Linked DNA regions of Nothobranchius furzeri. The protein of the gene in region 2 interacts with the protein of the main gene of each other region in a pairwise test. Links are inferred from orthologs where the notes say so. Each region holds a gene or a part of one and is shown on either strand. Other genes may lie near its edges.

The links.
Region 1: the proteins of cep63 (region 2) and txlnbb interact in binary tests that used the Homo sapiens proteins (3 or more experiments, as listed by UniProt). The two-hybrid records come from large-scale screens. The link is inferred for Nothobranchius furzeri from reciprocal best matches to the Homo sapiens genes CEP63 and TXLNB.
Region 3: the proteins of cep63 (region 2) and ppp4r1l interact in a two-hybrid assay, tested with the Homo sapiens proteins (2 studies listed by BioGRID and IntAct). The link is inferred for Nothobranchius furzeri from reciprocal best matches to the Homo sapiens genes CEP63 and PPP4R1.
Region 4: the proteins of cep63 (region 2) and calcium/calmodulin-dependent protein kinase kinase 2 interact in a two-hybrid assay, tested with the Homo sapiens proteins (2 studies listed by BioGRID and IntAct). The link is inferred for Nothobranchius furzeri from reciprocal best matches to the Homo sapiens genes CEP63 and CAMKK2.
Region 5: the proteins of cep63 (region 2) and smc3 interact in a two-hybrid assay, tested with the Homo sapiens proteins (2 studies listed by BioGRID and IntAct). The link is inferred for Nothobranchius furzeri from reciprocal best matches to the Homo sapiens genes CEP63 and SMC3.

What each region holds. Positions count from the first base shown.
Region 1 is NC_091758.1:20,072,791-20,076,771, reverse strand, and holds the start of txlnbb (taxilin beta b), read left to right. Parts: upstream 1-1,173; 5' UTR 1,174-1,296; intron 1,297-3,908; 5' UTR 3,909-3,947; coding exon 3,948-3,981. UniProt on the Homo sapiens protein: Promotes motor nerve regeneration. May be involved in intracellular vesicle traffic.
Region 2 is NC_091756.1:60,715,112-60,719,199, reverse strand, and holds the start of cep63 (centrosomal protein of 63 kDa), read right to left. Parts: upstream 2,811-4,088; 5' UTR 2,658-2,810; coding exon 2,617-2,657; intron 2,517-2,616; coding exon 2,339-2,516; intron 779-2,338; coding exon 683-778; intron 604-682; coding exon 514-603; intron 445-513; coding exon 340-444; intron 229-339; coding exon 55-228; intron 1-54. UniProt on the Homo sapiens protein: Required for normal spindle assembly.
Region 3 is NC_091743.1:58,786,412-58,789,925, reverse strand, and holds part of ppp4r1l (serine/threonine-protein phosphatase 4 regulatory subunit 1), read right to left. Parts: intron 1,853-3,514; coding exon 1,787-1,852; intron 1,583-1,786; coding exon 1,424-1,582; intron 1,019-1,423; coding exon 894-1,018; intron 663-893; coding exon 157-662; intron 91-156; coding exon 1-90. UniProt on the Homo sapiens protein: Regulatory subunit of serine/threonine-protein phosphatase 4. May play a role in regulation of cell division in renal glomeruli. The PPP4C-PPP4R1 PP4 complex may play a role in dephosphorylation and regulation of HDAC3.
Region 4 is NC_091746.1:48,735,367-48,739,670, forward strand, and holds the start of calcium/calmodulin-dependent protein kinase kinase 2, read left to right. Parts: upstream 1-1,502; 5' UTR 1,503-1,690; coding exon 1,691-1,759; intron 1,760-1,978; coding exon 1,979-2,320; intron 2,321-4,304. UniProt on the Homo sapiens protein: Calcium/calmodulin-dependent protein kinase belonging to a proposed calcium-triggered signaling cascade involved in a number of cellular processes. Isoform 1, isoform 2 and isoform 3 phosphorylate CAMK1 and CAMK4. Isoform 3 phosphorylates CAMK1D.
Region 5 is NC_091744.1:4,689,817-4,693,330, forward strand, and holds part of smc3 (structural maintenance of chromosomes protein 3), read right to left. Parts: intron 1,223-3,514; coding exon 1,143-1,222; intron 1,049-1,142; coding exon 970-1,048; intron 1-969. UniProt on the Homo sapiens protein: Central component of cohesin, a complex required for chromosome cohesion during the cell cycle. The cohesin complex may form a large proteinaceous ring within which sister chromatids can be trapped.

The DNA.
Region 1 (3,981 bases), on a different chromosome or scaffold from region 2:
TAAATAATTATGTGTTTTGACTATGTCTGTCACGTAATTTGAGATTTATTTGCTTAAAAAAGTCATAAATAAAAAAATTACAAAGCAGAAGTTGCAAACTTGCAAATATGACGTCGGCGCAGAATCTCATCTCCCTAGCGTAGCTGCTACTTTGCACGTGGCCAGATTTATAACCTTAACTCTGAAAACATATTTTTTATTATTATTTCTGATCAGTCACTAAGTTATGCTGGCTGAACATGAAAATAGTCTCCCACACATATGTCCTGCTATGGTGAAACAAGGATTAGAAAAGCCAGTCAGTGTTAGAGGTGCGTTGCTGTTAAGTAATCTGAGGTAAAATGTCCAAATGTCAGAAAATAAGACAGCTGTGATGAGGCTCACTTTTGGTTCCTGGAAATGCACCGGTGCCCCCCCCCCCCCCCCCCCCCCCCCAAAAGATGATTTCAATTTTAGATATGGTATATTTATTTCCCCACGTTTAGAAAATGGATTCCTACATCAAAGAATTAAATTAGACATTGGGCCCTGTCAACAGATATTAATCTCATATAATCAGAAGGAGGAGAATTTTTTGTGGTCTGTTTATTACTTTTTACAACGTGAAATATAATTATTGAGAGTAATATTCAGTTTCAATGGTGCTGAGCTGGATAATGATGCTGGATTATCTCCCTCCCCAACTACATCGGTCTCTCATTATCATTCCACCTGTGCGGTTCACAACTGTTTAAATTAGAGCCCATCATTCACTTTCTGTCTTTAGGGAGGCAGAAAAAAAATATCTCCAGTGTGAAACTTGTAATAGCTACATCTGGTGGCGAAAATTGAATACTGCAGCTGCAGCGTGGAGGTAAAATAAAATGGGTGCTTCCAAAAGTAGTGTTCACCTTGTAGATAGTTTTCAGCCGCTTTCAGAATTTAACTGTCAGCTCAAAATCAGCAGATTGTGTAAAAAAATAAAAAAAACTGAAAGAAAGGCTTATCAGGCCAGTCTGAGAAACAGCGTTTTCTCTTCTCTCCTGCTCAGTCTCTTTTCATGACTAATAGGAGCGAAGCTTAAAATTAAATCAGCACTGCGTTGATCTAAAGTAGCAAAGGTGCAACACCAAATAACGAGTTTTACTCTGAGGTTTGCAGCAGAGATGAGCTGCAGAGCGTCCTCCCTCTCTGAGCAGTGAGCTGCTCTCTCCTGGTTTATTTTGAGGGGCTCTTATCACAGCTGTTGCATCAGTGGTGGCCGCCTGTCCGAGCCCCTCCACACTCTTTCTGTTCCCCATCTGGCCCTCAGTCCTGGTAAGACCCTGCCTGCTCTTTACCCTGCTTCTTTTCTGATATTTGCACACAAATAACATAGAATTCTTGGTTTCCTAACATCTGTCTCACACGTCTAACAAACGTGGGACTGACTCCAGTGGCGGTTTGGAGTTTGCCAAGTCTGTTGAAGATGAGATGCTGTTAATTGCAGTGAGACTTTCCTGCGTCATTTGCTGTCAGAAGTTAAAATTGTCTGCTGGTGAGAGAAAAGGGAACATTTTAACCTCTAATGAAACGCTGCATAGTTAAAAGAGTTTTCCTACACATAGCTCTGTAAAATTTCCATTTTAACATGTACTTCTTTATAAAAGCGTTAAAAGATCAGAGATATTTGTCTTTATTTGAAGTTTAACCACAATAAAAAGATGTTTTCAAGAAACACTGACCCTGACATAAAAAAAGAGTGGAATAGAATTAAATAATAAACAACATGCCCATATTAAGAAGTTCCTAAAATAGCTTGTGGGTCTGGAACAGGTGCCATTTGCTCTTCTTGTGAAAGCTAATTATATGCATCTAAACAGGCTCTGGCTGCGAGTACGACTCCACAGATACAAGCATGATGGACTTTACTACACCAGGAAAGCTTTGTTCGGGTTTATCACCTCGCTGCTGCAAAGACATTGAAATTCATATAAAAAAAAGGCATTCAGATATTTCATCTAGAGCATTATTTGGTGCGTATTTCTGTTTCTGCAAAAGAAATGTGCACCAAAGTTATGTTTTTAGTCTAATAAACAAAAACAACTTCAGCAGCATAGAATATTTAAATAAGAAAAGCTTCTTGGTGGTGGAATCTGCTTAATTCTGATTAATCTGTTATGATTTCACTCAACAATATGTATGTGAAATCTCCAACCAGTTTTCTCTGTAAATCTTGTTAGGATCTGCAAGGTGCTCAAATGGAGGAAAAACACTTGATATGAGGTTTTTAGACTGAATTTCAAGGTGTTGATTTTAATGTCAGGTTACATAGTTGAAGATTTCTTTATCATTTAAGTGCTGCTAATTTAGGCATCAAACACACAAAAATTCAGGCTGTAAATGTACTCGTTGTTGCTCTTAAACATCACAGGTTTGGATACTGTAGCTGTTGTGGATAGCACTGAACAACCTCAGTTTGGAGAAGCAGAGATGAGTTCTGACTGGACAAATGCTGATCTCAGTGGGGCAAGTCACAGACTGATTAGGAATATCTCAAAAGCCTCACAGTAGTTAGTGTGAATTAACTACATAAGACTCTGGTGGTTTGCAGCAGAAACTAGCTGCTTTAGCATTTCTGAAATTAAATGCTTAAAAGGCTACGGTAGACCAGCTTGTTTGTCATACCAGAGATAATTTCTGTTCCTCTTAAAGCCAGGCGTTCTCATGTGAGAATCTTTGAGGTTGAGGCGAGTTTGGTGTTGTGTGTCCAGTAGTATACAGGGATTACGAGAGGCGATTAGCACCGCACGACCAGCTCCCAATCAGTAATTGCACAAATATCAAACATGTTTGATATTTTCCTCATCCCTCGTGAGGTTATCACACTGTTGGAACAGCGCTGCGAGCCAAAAGTACCAGAACTGCTCACACAGCGCATGCACCAACACGGCTCGTCAGCTATTTTCGTATCAACTCAAGCTGTATTACTTATTTTTATACTTTTCTCTACACACAGTGACAAGGATTGTCAAGAAAGTGTGTTTTATGCCAAATAAAACATTGTTTTACTTCCTTTCTTTTGTCTTCCTTCTCAAACCCCCATAAACCCCATGTTGTCCTTCTATGGCAAGCCCGAAGGATAACACACATTAATAACATAGTTTGAATATGTTCATTTTTCCAAATAAATGCTGAAAAAAAACCCACCAGTAACAACACAACAGGTTTTAGAAATCGAAAGTCTGACATGTTGCGTAAAAACGACTATTTGTAGCATATTTTAGCTCCGATGTGTTGCTAGCACACATACAGTGTGAACAGTACAGTGAGAGAACATGTGAGCTTTGCTCTGCGAGGAAGTCATCCAGTTTGAGATGGAGCTGAATGCTACGAGTGAAAGCCACACAATGTCCACCCGTCCTAACTGATGTTGTCCAAAAGGCTTTATGGAGGATGTAAGATATTCATTGCTTTTGGCCTTTTAAGAGAAACACTTCAAAAAGCGGAACCCCCGCTTTTATGATCTTTTATGGTTTTCTTTCCAGTAAACCACTTTTAAAGTGGCCTAAATTGTACAAATAAATCAGATGTGGCTACACAAACTAATTGTCACGGTGTAGGAGGTGGAGATGATGGACCGCTAATTAGGGAAACATGGGCAGGTAAACGAGGGACAGGTGAGAACAATAAGGGCAATCACGGCAGGAGAGGAACACAGTCAGGTTGGGCAGGGGCAGATCGTGACACTAATATTAAAAAATCCTAACATGTTTTTTGTTTGTAATGGGGAGACTGTTTCTATAAAACCTCAGATATGATGTTTAATTCAACGATGAAAACAGATTTTTTTTTATGTGAAAAAGTGATCAAAGCATTTTTGTTGTGAGATAACAGACAGAGCAGCCGTGATCTGTCTGTAAATGATTTATTTTTGGTCTCTCGTGCAGAGGCAACTGTCTCCTTTGTGTTGCTACTAGCTCAGAATAATGGAGGCTTGTCAGGAGAGCAGCACTGCCCCCA
Region 2 (4,088 bases):
TTGGTATCCAGCTGAGAAGCCACACATCTCACATGTTCCTGTCGCCCTGCTAACCTGCTGCTCTCTCTGGGACTGTCCCAACAGCACCTCCAGCGGTCTGAGGCGATCCAGTTCCAGTTCCTGTGAGTGCAGGCTGGCCTGAGCCTTCTCCAGCTGTGCACGCAGATGCTGCACCTCTGAACAGCACTCCTTGTGTTCCCTCTCCACCCGCCCCGATGCCCATTGGCTCTGGAAAAACAAATATTACTGAAATGCAACAACAATGCAGCAGTCTTCCACACTTTTATACACTAAATATGTCTGGCTTCCTGAGTGAAAGTCATAAATGTGCTTTTTAACCTTTAAGTGAGCAAGCTCCTGGTTCAGGCTTTTATTCTGGAGCTCCAGTGTGGTCAGCTGGTTTTGGTACCGAGTTCGCTGCTGCTCAGAGCGCTGCTGATGCTTCTGCACCAATGTAAGAACGATTAATCAAATTCCAGGAGATGGAAATGCCAGGAAAATCTATTAGTTCACCTTTGCAAGCTCAGTCTCCTTTCCACCTCCACTTGTCTCCTTAAGCTGTTTGCGATGAAGCTTCTGGTAACTTCTCTTCAACTTGTCCAACTATAAGAAACGATGTTAACAATAAACATGATACAAGCGATATAGCTGAGTGCATTTGAGGAAAAACAGATGATCACACCTCTTCACGGAGTCTCTTTAGTTGTTGTTCGTACTTGGATACCAACTCTTGCCGATCCGTCTGAACGGCTTCAAGCTGCTTGTGAAGAAGTCCAATCTGCAACAAATACATGAGGCATAATACTTCTGTTTTTATGTGTTTTTTAGATGCCTCTAAGGCCTTTGACAGAGTCAATCATCAGAAATTATTCATCAAGCTACAAAACAGAGGGGTCCCTTCTTACCTAGTTAGGATTTTGCACTTCTGGTACTCTCATCAACTGATGCAGGTAAAGTGGGGGACAGAAGTGTCTGAACCTTTCTCCGTATCAAATGGAGTCAGACAAGGCGGGATTCTGTCACCTGTCCTTTTTAACCTGTACCTTGACGAGTTGTCTGTTACTCTGAATGCTAGTAAGACTGGATGCTTGGTGGGTGACCGACTGGTAAATCATTTAATATATGCAGATGACCTAGTCCTCATGTCTCCCTATAGCGCAGGCCTGCAGCAGCTGCTCAGGGCATGTGCTAAGTATGGTGAGCAATTTGACATCCTGTTTAACCCTAAAAAGAGTGTGGTTATGATTGCTGCTACTAAAGGGGACCTGAAGCTTAATTTTCCATCTTTTAACTTAACAAATCAGGTCCTGGAAGTGGTAAGCAAAGTAAAATATTTGGGGCACATTTTAAGAAGTGACCTCTGTGATGACGAGGACATTAAGAGGCAGTGTGGTAAGCTGTACATGCAGGCTAACACTCTGGCACGTAACTTTGGCATGTGCTCAGATCCTGTAAAAGTGTCCCTCTTTCGTTCCTTTTGTACTCCTCTCTATACCGCCCACTTGTGGTGCAACTATAGTAAGGTAGTAATGAAGAAGCTTCAAGTGGCTTATCAGGATGCTTTTAGAATCCTCATGAAGCTCCCTAGATGGACTTCGGCAAGTCACATGTTTGTTACGAGTAACATCCCAACTTTTCATGCGCTTCTGAGGCTCTTCATGTACAAATTCATCTGCCGACTGAGTTTGTCAGCTAACGCGGTTGTTAGAGCTCTGTCATCTTTATCTTACAGTGACACGAGGTACTCCTCAGTCCTTTTTAAACATTGGAGCAACTGCCTATATGGTTTGTAATTAGAATGTGTTTGTATTTTATTTTTTTATTTATTTTTTATTTTTTTTATTCTTGTTATGGACATATCCCTTGTCTGAAATAAAGTTTGATTGATTGATTGAATAGGTGATGGTGTTATTATGGGAATAGAGATAAAATGCTTCATGCCACAACTATTTACTGTCTCCTTCCTTACGGTTTAAAACATGTCCTAAAACCAACATCCTCACACATTTACATTTATTTTTGAAACATTTAATTGAATCTGCAGGAGGTTTTGTTTTGAGAGTACAACGAATCTTCATAGCAGAGGCTTTCTGATCATTTAAGGAATAATTTAGTAAGTCTCCAACATTAGGTGAGGCCAGAAATGGAGACAGTGGCCATAAAAACTGTTTTAGCAGGAGAGTCCATGTTTGGAATTGGAAATGGGATGGAAAAATGTTACCTTCAAAATGCTGCATGTCAAAATAAGGGCATGCTTGCTTTTTTATTACAAGCTTCTGTGTTGATTAAATTACTTTTGTGATTCTTTTGAGCAAAAAAGGATGAATCGTCACTTCACCTCCAGATCCCTCCGTTCAATGGTAGTCTTGGAGGTTAAAAGCTCTTCTTCTCCACTGGTGACCCTGAGCTGCAGAGCGTGGAGCTCAGCCTCCCACTCCCTCTTCTGATGATTGATCATAATGTCAATCTGTCTCATCAGCTCCTGCAGCTCAGGCTCGCATGAGGACAGGACAGAGCTGCGTAGCAGAAGATTAAAGCGTGTTATCAACTTCATTTGTGTAAACACGCATCTAAAGATGGCTGACTTAGCCTCACGACAAACCAAACGTCTGTTACCTTATATCAGGATTCTGTATTGATTCCAAAGAAACCTCCATCTCGTTCAAAAATGGCGCCGTCTGTCCCCTCTGCGCGCTAAGGTGCTACAACACGGTGGACTCTATCCAGATTGTCCTTACAAGCTAAGACCGGCACGTTGTAGAGTATAAACAAGTTTGATGACATCGCTACGTCAACAACACTATTCGGCGTTCAACTGCTTTTCTTTACAAAGAATTTCCGGTTCCAAGGCGGTACATCCGCCTTCTAACTGTGACCTCATTACGTTTTACGTAGGCAACATTTTAAAAAATGTAATTTATTATTTGGTCTTCGACTTTAAAAATAAGGTTTGGGAGGGAAAATTAAAGAAAAAACAAACACATTAATCTCACGGCTTAAGATTCAGATGTCGTGTAACGTGAAGGTACGTCTGAAATTCCATGAAATTAGACATTCTATTATAGTGTGTAAAAATACAATAATACTTTTAAAACAGTACATTTACAGAAAAACTACATATCACTTTAAATTAACTTTAAATTATTTTATGTGTCTTTCCCGGACACGTGGCTCGTTGGTCTAGGGGTATGATTCTCGCTTCGGGTGCGAGAGGTCCCGGGTTCAAATCCCGGACGAGCCCATAATTTTTAGCATGGTCATTTAGAATGTGATTTGAAAATTCGGCGGTCTGCTGTCCGAACATATTGGTCGCTGTGTCGCTGCGTGAGTGTTGTATAAATTATCTGCTTGGCCATGGCTAGGGAAGAGGGATATCATGATAGCTTTTCCGTTTTTACCGCAATCCCGCGAGCAAGGTGTCATCGTGAACCGATGCTTCAACAGCACAAATGTCAAGAAAACATGAAACATTTATTACCTACAATATACATATGTTCCTTTAACACATCAGCATTTTGTTGGTAGAGGGGTATGATTCTCATATTGAATGCGAGAGACTCCGGGTTCAATTCCCAGATGTGCTAAGTTTTCTTTATATGTCTTTTGAGAAACATTTTATCAGGATGTGTTATGGTTAAGGAAAAAGCAAAACACATCACCTACTTTGGAACGTTCATCAACCCCTCCTTTACCACTCCCCCTTCCTCACCCATCTCTCCACCTGCCTTCATTCAAACTAAACAAAGAGCGTTTCCTCCGCTCTGCATCCCCAGCTGTTCATGGGAGGGCTTTTGGCTGTTTCGCCCCCACCAACGCAACAGACGCTCTAGCAGGAGGCAGGCAAGCTGCTCTCTGACATCATTCACAGCACAGACACCGAGCTGCACAAACCTAAAAGAAAACACCGCAGATACACACATCACCTGTAAGTAATCTGTTTTATTACAAACTATTATCTGACCATGGCTGTTTTGTGTTTCACTCAAGCTTATAAAAAAACCAACAGCATCCAACTTTAGGATTTAAGTGATTCATTTTGATGGTATTTGAAATGAACATAGAATTTGGTTCTAAACAAATTCTTCCCT
Region 3 (3,514 bases), on a different chromosome or scaffold from region 2:
CCTCGGTAGGGCTGGTTTCTGTCGGGCTGCCGTCAGACGGGCTGTCGAGCTGGGCCGCCTTCAGAGCTGCTGACAAGACTTGGACTTGAACTGGAGGTGAAATACACACTCAGTTAAATCTACACACCAGTAAAATCTCCATTCCTATCTACCCACCTTGTACATCGGGATCAGCAATGTGAGGCGTCAAACAGTCCAAGACCTTTTGGATTTGATCGCTGGTAGCTTTTCCGGGGCTGGGTTTAGAATCTGAACTACTTTCCTGGTGCTCCTCCTCTTCCGTTTCCTCCTTTTCTGTGACTTCCTCCGATTTCTCACAATTTAGCATCTCCAGCTCCTCGCTGATGTCGGGTAAAGGAGGCCTCCAATAGTTGAAGGAATTAAAGTTCTCGTCTGTCTGCTCGTGTTCTTTTGTGTTCTTGATGTTGTTGGTGGCTGTGGGGCCGTCGCTGCTGTTTGTGAGAGTGAAGCCATCCGGTCTGTTTACGGGAACAGGAGAGCGGTTCTCCTCGAAGCTGTCCACGTCCTCGCCATCTGCAGAAGGGACGTGCTCCGGTGAGGGGGTGGCACGGCCGTCCTGATTGGGGGGTGTGTGGGTGATGGTTCTGTCTTTGAGGCAGCCGCTGATGTCGGAGCAGTTCAGAGGGTTTAGAGGACAGTTACTGAAGACACAAAAATGTAAAACACGTGAGTCATCTATTTGGTTAAACGTTCTTTTTTCAAACGCTGTCGGTTAAGCCGTACTCAATGACCCAGATTATGATCAATTAAAAAAAACTAATCCTCAAACTCAGGTCTGGTATAAAACTGGCCTTAAAACAACGTACAGGAACAAAGAAATTTTATCTTTGCTGATGTTCACAACTGCTTTGACAAAACGGAGGTGATCTTGCCTGTCTGGGGTACACCTGGGGACCTCTGGGAGGGCGCCGTCCTCTCTAAAGTGAAGTCCTGTGCTAGAGGGGCTGGCAAAGGTGGAGATGAATCGACCCAAAGACTGAAAGGCAGCTTGTCGCACCTGAAAGCAAATAAAGAGCGAAGTCCCTCTGTTCATCCCTTATTGAATTAGTCAACAACAATGTGTAGAGAGCAGATTTTATCGAAATAAGCTCCTGACTGCATCTCTGAGAAAACTCTTGGTGTGCACGCACATCAGAACAAACTGAAAAGAGTCTTAAACATCATAAAGAACTTCAAGAAAACGAGGATTGATAATGAATTGCAGAAATTCCTAGTTTACAACAAGCAGGAAGTGGTTTTAGGTTCCATCACTGAACACATTTAAAGAAATCAAATCCAGAACCGTTTTCATTTTTTGGGGGTAAAACATTCAAAATGAGAAACAACTCGAAGCAGCATCCGCCAGTATTTCCTTCCTAAAGAAACTAGTCATTTGAACTGAATTCGTTCCTGGTCGTCTTACCCAACGAGACTGATCGCTGATGAGGTTGATGAACAGGGGGGACAACTTTGAGCGTCGCACCTCTGGAGAGGTGGAGTTGGAGACTGTCATGAAGCACTCAGCGCATGCTTTCCTGATGCCCCAGAGGGAATCTGAGCACAGGTTGAAGAACTTGGACATCTGTGGTGAATGCAAAACCAAAACAATGTGAGTGTTTGAAGGGCAGAGAGCAGCAGAACAACAGAGACTCTGTTGAACTTTCATTACACCATGGTGACCTCACAACACCAACAAAGCTGCTCAATGCACAGACTAACATCATAAACAGGCTGCATTCATGTTAAAAATAAAGTATGAATTAAAGGAACAAAACAAGTCCCTCACCAGTAGTTTTTCTGTGCTCTCTTGACCAACAATAGAGCAAATTTCTCCAAAGTTTGTTGCACACACCTACAACACAAACATGAAGCATGTTTACAATTGGAAACCTTCTTAGAGCTTATGAACTTGTTGGGGGCTGAAAAGTCTTCTTTTAAGATAAGCAAACCTTGGGTGAAGATTCTTGTGCTTGTTTTAATCGTTTTGCTAGCTGGCTACACATAGCTATGTGGAAGATCCCTACTACACATAGCAAATGCCTAATCATTCTAAAAATGTACCAAAAAATAAAAATGACCTAAAATATCTCAAATACTAAACCTCAGATCTGTCCTATTTAGGCATTTTGAGTGAGAGGAGATGAAGCAGATGAGTTAGATGTATAAAATGTGTACGGTATGTAAACGTAGGGCTGCTCAATTAATCGAATTTTAATCACGATTACGATCTGAGTTTTGAACGATTATAAAAAACAAAACAAGCCGATTACTTGCTCCTCCCGCTTGCGCTGCCCTGAGTTGCAAATGAAGCGCTCCTCCCACAATGTTGCCAACTTAGTGACTTTGACGCTATTTCTAGCAGCTTTTCAGACCCCTTCTTAACTTTTTAACTTAAAAGTACCTAGCGAACACCTCAGAAACATCTCTGGTAGCCCTTAGCTACTTTCTGGATAACTGTCGTCGACATTTCCTGCAGGTTAGCTAAACACTCGAGAGGGTGCTCGCTGCAGAACCACAAAGGCGGAGCTGCACCATAAGGTGGAGCTGCACCAGAGTCAGCCCCGCCCATTCACGCAAACTCAGCTTACCCACTGACTTCCGTTTTTGTTTTCAACTTTATCGCAAACTGACCTGACCCACATGAATTACGGCTGTTACTAGTTTACAGTCGTTAATGCTATGTTCTAAACAAGATAAATATAACTTGCTACATGACAAAGACTGAATATATCTCGAAATGAAAAGGTTTCTTTTAGCGAATATCTGCCCACAGCCGGTCTAACAAAAGTGCTGTATAACAGTATGTCAGATTTTCGGATGAGCTTATGTAGTCTAGTGGTGAGATCGAATGGGGTAAATTTTGCTTTCCCCTCAGCTGATGCTGGTTCGACTCTCGGTGGGGTCGTCAGCAATCTATTTAGCCAGCTGAAACATTTAATTTGTTTATATTTTAGTTGTAATGTTTATTTTCAGCAAAATATTTGTCTCTAAAAGTTCTTTGAATTTGGTCGTTCTTAAACAGCATTTTAGTTGAAACTCTGCTCACAAATGGACTCACACTGGCTAAATAAACGAATAAATAAATAAAAAAACACATTAGTCATTATATGTTAAACGGTATACCAGTAAATTGTTTTAAACATAGTACTGGCAAGTGTAGCTAGAAATGAAGAAAAGAGGTTGCACACTACCTAAAACTTTCACTAATGGGAGGCGAACCTGCGCAAAACTGATTGTCAACCCAATTCCCTAACCACTACACCACCACATCTGTTGTAACTTATGCCGCGTTACATCTAACTGTCCTTCCCAGTGTGTCTCTGAGATGGGTTGTATGTTTTGGCGGTGTCTCAGTAGAAGTCATTTCAGAAATAATTTGTCAGAAAATTCACAGAATATCCAGATTTGAGAACCAAGACCATGCCCGCTTCTGGGGAGGAGACCAAATTGAAGCTGAGATGGGAGGAAAATGCATGAATGAGGCTAAAAATGGCTTTGGCGTGTTTCTTATGAG
Region 4 (4,304 bases), on a different chromosome or scaffold from region 2:
CCCAGACGCAGGCCCCCAAGAGCTCGTCGTCGTCTCCTCCTCTGCCCCAGACGGAGCTCCCTGGACTTTACTGGTTCCTGCCTCCTCTCCACCGGTCCCTCAGTTCCTCTTGGCCCTCCTTCCTGGTCCCCCTCCTCCCACCCTGCTCTGTGTTCCTGTGGGTGTCTGGGATCCGCCCTTTGAGGGGGGGGGGGGGGTGTAGGGTACTGTCACACCCTGTCCTGTCTCCCCGTTCTGTTTAGTCATGTGTCTCTAATTGCTCCCACCTGCCTCTCGTTTTCCAATCACCCAAGCTCCCAGCCCTCTTGTATTTAAACCCCTTCAGTTCTGTGTCTCGTGTTGGATCATTGTTTCTATGTCAGCGTGTTCCCGATTAAAATCCCTGTTTTAATGTTCCTGTTTGCCTGCCTGCCTCCTTCACCCGTGTGTGGATCCTCACCTCCGTCTCACTCACCAGCACGCCTGACATTATGTTTCTATCCTAATGAAAAAAAACATGTTTAATATTTTTGTTTTACTGAAAGTATAACAAAACTGATTACTAGTGTGCTTGGATCCTGTATGTTCTTTTCTAGTTTAGTTTAGTTTATTTCAAACAAAGAAAACATACATCATTTTTTTTAAAATACCACAAACAGAAAAAATACATATCATCATCCCTTCTTCTCTGTTTGAAAAGGAGTAGGCAGAAGTGGGAACTTATATGTCCCTACCCCTTTATACAAGTAAGTTTTACTTGTTTACTAAATCTAACACAAAACCTACATTAAAACAAACAAAATGGTACAAGTCACCAAAAAATAAAAAATAAACACCAAACCATATGGGAAAAAAAACAACAAAAAAAAACACATTTTTTTTACAATTGATACAATTTACTTTTCCTTAGAATAAAGGACACCCACTTAAATCATCGATTTTCCACTATATACTTGTTCAGAATATGTTTTTTATAATTCATTTTTAACACATTTATATTTGTACTTACTTTGATTTCCTCTTCTAAATTGTTCCATAATCTAACCCCTATTATTGTGATACACAATATACACAACCCCTTTTAGGGGTTAATAGTTAAATGCTTTCTAAGACACATGAGAAGTGTGGGTTTCAGTACCGTCCTCTAAATAAACAACATCAAAAACGAACTCTGAATGTGGAAAATAGAGCTGTGCTGCTTTAAATGTGTTGTCAGCTGAGAAACAGCTTTTGTCTTACTTTTCTGTGATGGGGACTTTGAAGTTCAGATGTGCTAAAGAAATGCAGATTGGTTCCAGCTAACACTCCTACCTGTTGACACAGCTGTGAGCAAAATAAAGACATTCCCATAAAATCTGACAGTTTAACCACCTCTCAAATGCTTATGTGTAGTTGTGCAGTAGCGGGGAAGTGTGTATTTGCAATTTTTTACGTAACAATCTGTCTTTTACTTTCTAAACAAACCCATATTTTTCTGTCCCTTTGCCTTAGACACATCTCCCCTTCGAAGGTTTGCTCTGATGGAGCAGCGATTCTCAGTCTTCCTGGACAGGCACCATGTTTCCTTGCCACGTAACTGCTTGGCCTTCTGCTGAGCCCCCAGCGTCTTGCGGTAGCCATGCCCCCTCAGTGCAGCCCTCCCAACCTCTCCCTGATCTGCTGTGCAGCTGTCCTGTGCCACCTTTAAACACTTACACTGTCCTCGGACCCCATGGAGTCCCTCATCGTGGTCACGGAGTATGAACCAAGCCGGCCACCTGGACAGGCTGCAGAGGAAGAGGTGAGATGAAAAATAATCTGATTTATAGAAAGTGCAAGATTCAAATACATAATTGGGAAAATTTGTAATAAATCTTCATATTGACCTAAAGTGAAGTTTCAAATGCTAGCCTGAATAAAAACACAAACTTTAACACCTTATTAAAAGTTTGTACTCAACTACTGACATTTATTTATGTTAAAATGAAGTAACAAAAATTATTTCTATGCACTACATCAGGTAGAAGAAATGGACAGCTCTGAGACGCCCGAGCCTGCTTCCTCCCCTGCAGCACCTTTCCGGACTCCATCCTGTGACCTGCTGTCCCATACATTTGGTCGGCCAGAGGCTCTGCTGCCGGAAAGCCAAGAGCAGAGGGGCAGGCTGAGCCTGTCCGACCGGAAGCTCTCTTTGCAGGAGCGCTCACAGACGGCAGCATCCCCCTGCAGCTCCCCTGGATTAAACGGGCGCTATATTTACCCATCACTACCATACTCTCCTATCACATCACCCCATTCTTCTCCACGTCTGCCCCGCCGGCCCACCGTGGAGTCCCACAGCGTCTCCATCACAGATCTGCAGGTACTGTTCAACCCTGAACTTTACCTTTTAGTTTTAACACCACAGTCAATTATTTGGGTTGTCACATATCAAATAATCATGACTTTAAAGAAAATTGTCTAATTAATGGCCACAAGCTGTGCAGGAGTACTGGTGATAATGTGATTCTGGATCTCTGAACCATCTGACCCACTTCATTCTTTTCTAGATGTTGTGTGTTGCATGAAACCCAAAAAACTTACTCTGACACATAGCCATGGTTCTCTTTAAAGATGTGGTTCACCCATTTAATCAATAGAGCTCCGGACGTCACGTGACTCTCAGAGAGTAGACGCCATGTTGGCAGGCAACAAATGTAAACAAAATGAACGGGATCGGCTTGGATTTTACTTCGTTGGAGTTTACTTCACACTTTAAAACCAAATAAATCTTTTTATATAGTCAGAAATTAAATTGACTAAACATCTCCGACCCTTACCGTGCCCCTGGGATACTTTTTAAAAATGCCAGAAGCTGTCAGAACGGACTTCTTACCGGACCTGGCCGGGGAACGCCTTGGGATTTCTTCGGAGGAGCTGGCCCAAGTGGCTGGGGAGAGAGAAGTCTGGGCCGCTCGACTTAGGCTACTGCCTCCATAACCTGACTCCGGATAAGCGGATGAAAATGGATGGATGGACAAATAACATAGATTTACATGTAAGTAGTTTAAATAGAGTGCTGTGCTGTTTGAAAGTATAAACTGAGCGCCAAGAGAAATCACTAGTCTGATTTTTTCCCGTGAATAAAATAAATATGTCAGGCAGGAGCGTCTCAGGATCTGTCTGAGATCTGTCTCGGTGAGACAGATAATAGCAATCCAAAGTGCTTTTTATGTGTGATCTGACAATTGATCAACCATTGCTTAAAAATTAAATACAGCTTAGCCGGTTAATTGCTGTCATCATAAAACACGTAAACGGCAGCACGCAGAAACACGAGGCAACGTTTTACGTGACGTTTACTTGTTGCTATGAGTAATAAGACAGAAAAAGCCACGCCAAAATAAGTTTAGGAAGCCCACTAAGAATCGTAATAAAAGCATTTAAAATAAACACCATACACAGTTGAGGAAACGTTGGTTTAAGTACCTGATATGAAGCGGTCGCTGCATAAGCGAAAACCTTTACTCTCGGGATCCCACAGTTTCATTTTAGCCCGGTCACTAGCACGTTTTATTACAATGATCCAACGTTTGCAGCGCTCCGGATCTTGGGGAATCCTGTAGATGGCTCATTCCTTGTGTCGTCCACGTCTGTTCTGCATTCTGGGGCACAACAGGAATCTACCATATTTCCTGTTTGATTGAGTTTTCTGACAATAACAAATAGTCCAGCCGCTGGCTTCTGACTGCCAAGATGGCGCCGTTTTGATTGGAACTGTTGCATGCCGGGAGAAGTGACGTCAACTCCCGGAGCTCTATACATTTGCAGTGGTCTCTAGCAGGAATGCCATTTTCGGAGGTAGGGGTGGGTATGCCTGTTTCAGGAAGTACAAATCAGCATGAGAAAGAAGCTTCAGGTGGCAGGATTTGGATTTGAACATCTCCCTTCTGATCTGCTAACAGCAAAGCAACTCTATCACTGACTCTGTTAGCTCTGCAACGTTGATGCTTTATCTCCACAAAAAACACAAGCTTGAAGGAGTTCTGCTGTGTTGTGGAGTTGCTAATGCTAAGGGCTGTGATATACTTGCTGTTTGACCTCGTGTTGGTGCAGGCAGCAGGCTGCGTCTTTGTTCACATACTTGCTACTACACAGCACTGCACTGCATGTAGTTCTGGAGCATTCCATTAAGGGGTACACTAGACTATTCAGACCAGATGGAGAGAGCTGGGTTTGTGGGTACAGCCAAAACAAACATGGCGTCAATAAAAGACCTCACTAACTGGTTAGTTTGGAAATCACGAAAGAAAAAAAAGAGAGCAGCGGTGAGATGGTGTGAAAGCCCTCTAAACCAGATACAGAGT
Region 5 (3,514 bases), on a different chromosome or scaffold from region 2:
TTCGCCCTCTTCTCCGCCTTCACTAACATCTCCGCCAAATACCGAAGACCCGGAACAACGTCCGTCCACTACTAGATTATTTTCCTGTTTTGCCCCTTCGTCTCCCGGCAACGGACAACAACTTCCGGGGTCAGATGCGCTGCTTCGTGTCTATCGCAGATGTAGAAAATCACCGGGAGCGCTTCTCCCTTCATAAAGGAGCTTCTTTCAGACATGAGGAGAGCTGTTTTGGTGGTAGCAGTCTCTCCTCCGTGCTGGTCTGTTTGCTGCCGGGTGTTTTTGGTTTATTTAAACTTGGTAACTTGAATTTAATGTTGGTAAAGCTACTGTTAGCATCTTCGCTAACAGCTTCTTGCGTTGGGATAAGCTGTTACGTTTTGGTTTAGAGTTCATTTTTTTGTGGTGTAGATCTCCCTTTTATTACATTTAGAGTGTTGTGGGTTTTCGGTTTAGTGTAAAATATCACCTGAGTTTGGTTTAACCCGTAAGACCACTCGCCTCACGCACATAAGTGACCAAAACAAAGCAGCATGGAGACACTCCATCTTCTACCACCTCTCAGGCAGCAGCCTGCACTCCCAAGTTCTACACGTCACCAGAACATAACCAACCGCAACACAATAAAAGCAGTGTTATACAAAATGGAAGGCCTGTAGTGTTTATTATCTTACAGTAACAATTTATCCATTTTTTTGAGGAATTTATTTGAGATTTTCTGGTTTTTGTTAATTGTGCAATAGAAAAATAATCATTAGATTAATTTTCTAAATAGTCATTAGAATAGTCGACTATTCTAATGACTATTTAGAAAAATAATCATTAGATTAATTTTCTAAATAGTCATTAGAATAGTCGACTATTCGATAAAATAATCGTCAGAATAATCGTTTTAAAAATAATCGTTTACCCCCAGCCCTAATAATTACTTTACGTGGAGCAGCCTAAAGACAAGTATTTTCTGTTTCTCACCTTTCCCTGCTTCACAATGTAATAGGGGTTACTGCGAGAGAAGCCGGCACTCTCCAGAAGGTTCATGACGTCGTTCTTACTGCAACGAGAACAGGAAATAGAATACATGAAAGAGACATCCGTGCATTGTCTTTGGGATGTGCATAAAGAGTCTATCCACACACGACACTCACGTCACCATCTTCTTATCCAAGAAGTACTGGTCCTTCTTTGCACCAATGACACGGCGAAGGGAGACTTCCTCCTTGTCAATCTGGAGGGAGATGACTTTGTTACTAGTGAAGTTGAAAGCAGCACACAGAGGCTAGTTGTGCCTGTTTAATTCACAACACCGATGATCAACTTATGATTTCTACAGAAATAGAGTTATCAAGCTGTTGTCAATAACACAATAAACTAAGTGTGATACACAGGGTTTTTCCTGCATTCAAATTTGCGTGGCAGCCGCCTCCAGCTAATTTTGTGCCACCCCAGCCTGATTTCACTCTGCCCCCAGCTACATGGATGCTATTTTAACTGCAGTTGCAGCTTTGCACTACAGGGGGCGCTGTATCAGCAGCGGTGCACCGAAAAGTCCTAAAACCGCTGCAGACAAAGACCAAAAATGCTTTTTCTCGCTAGTTACATATCTATGGTTGGTACTACTGATGTCCTGATTTTCCCCCAGGCTCTTCCATATCAGAGCAGTTTTGTACAGTGCGACGAAATAAACTGTGCGTGTCTGTTTATTTTTAAAAGTAGCACTGGTGCAACATCTTTGAATTACTATTTTCCCCAGAACTTAATTGAACAAAAGTAAGTTACGTGTAAGAAAAATTCTTTTTACTGGCGCACAGTGTGGTAATCTGGATGCAGAAGAAACCTGGTGCTGATGTCTCTGTGATCGCAAATTACGGGCCCATCTCTACCCTGCCTTTTACATCGAAACTGCTTGAGAAAGCCGTTTATCAGCAGCTGGTCTCACATTTAGCTGACTCTGATCTGTTTGAGGTTTTCCAATCAGGGTTCAGGTCTGGCCATAGCACAGAGTATGCTCTACTGAGGGTCTTAAGCTGGGCGAACACTGTGCGACTTTTTCACTCGTAGCACTCAGGTTCAGCTCAAACTGTACGACTTCCTCGCAGAGCAGATCTCACGAGTCATGTGCTCACACTGTACGTCTGGTAGCAACACGTCGGACCTAAAAATATGCTAACAATAGCAGTTTTTACACAACACGTCAGACTTTTTTTGTCTTTTTTTGCCCGATGTCCTTCGGGAGTGCCGCAGGAGGACACACAGGGATTTATGGGAGTTGGATGAGGAAAACGAAATAAAGAAAGTAAATCTGTGTTTTGTGATCAGTTTAATTTGACATGAACACGACGAACATGCTTTCTTGACAATCCTTGTCATTGTGTGTGTGAAAGACGTTCAGAAATAAAAACAAACAACGTGTGATATTAGGGAAATAGCGGGCGCGCGGTGTTGATGATTACGCATGCGCCGTGAGCGGTTCTGATACTTTATGAGTCGCAGCGGCTGGCTGCGCTGCTTCAACCTTCACGAGGAACAAGCAAAATATCAAACACTCCAGAAGTTTCTCAGTACGCCCGGCTTAACTGAGAGTCACGTAGGGTCCGGAGCTCTATTAAAACTAGATGATGTTTTTTCTTCTTGGGAGAGGCTCCACTGGGGGGTCCCGAAGGGATCGATCCTTGGTCATCTTTTGTTTGCCATTTATCTGCTTCCACTGGGGTCAATCTTTCGTAAACATGGCCTAGCGTTCCATCTCTATGCTGACGATTGCCAGATTTACTCTCCATTGTGTCAAGAGAAAGGTCTCTCTATCCAGTCCATTGTGTCCTGTCTTAACGAAGTAAAGTCTTGGCTAATGGCCAACTATCTGCATCTGAATGAGGAAAAGACAGAGCTCATTGTTTTTCACCCCAACAGCAGGGCTGTGGGTCGTTATGTTGATCTTGGCCCTCTTTCTCCCTACTCAAAACCTATGCTCAAAACCAGTTGTCACCAGTCTGGGGGTGAAAATTGATGCTGGACTTAAATTTGATGCTCACATCAACTCTGTGATCCGGTCCAGTTTCTTTCATCTGAGACGCCTTGCAAAAATCAAGCCTATGCTGTCGACAGCTCACCTGGAGCGGGTACTCCATGCTTTTGTAATTACAAGGCTTGATTACTGCAACTCTCCATATGCAGGACTGGGTCAATCATCACTGCGCCGCCTACAGGTTGTGCAGAACAGCGCAGCCAGGTTTCTGACTGGGACCAGGAAATGGGACCACATCGGTCCGGTTCTGGCCTCCCTGCACTTAGGGCTGGGCGATATGGCAAAAATAGAATATCACGATTTTTCCAATATTTTATCACGATTTCGATTTTATCACGATTTTTTATCCATGAATAGCATAACTTCTATTGCATATTAAAGAAGAGAAACATTGAATAAATAAACATTTATTCATATTAGGGATAATCAACACAGTGCTAACTCACTTATATTTTAAACTCACACCAGAGATGATAAAAGCCCTGAGAGAAACAA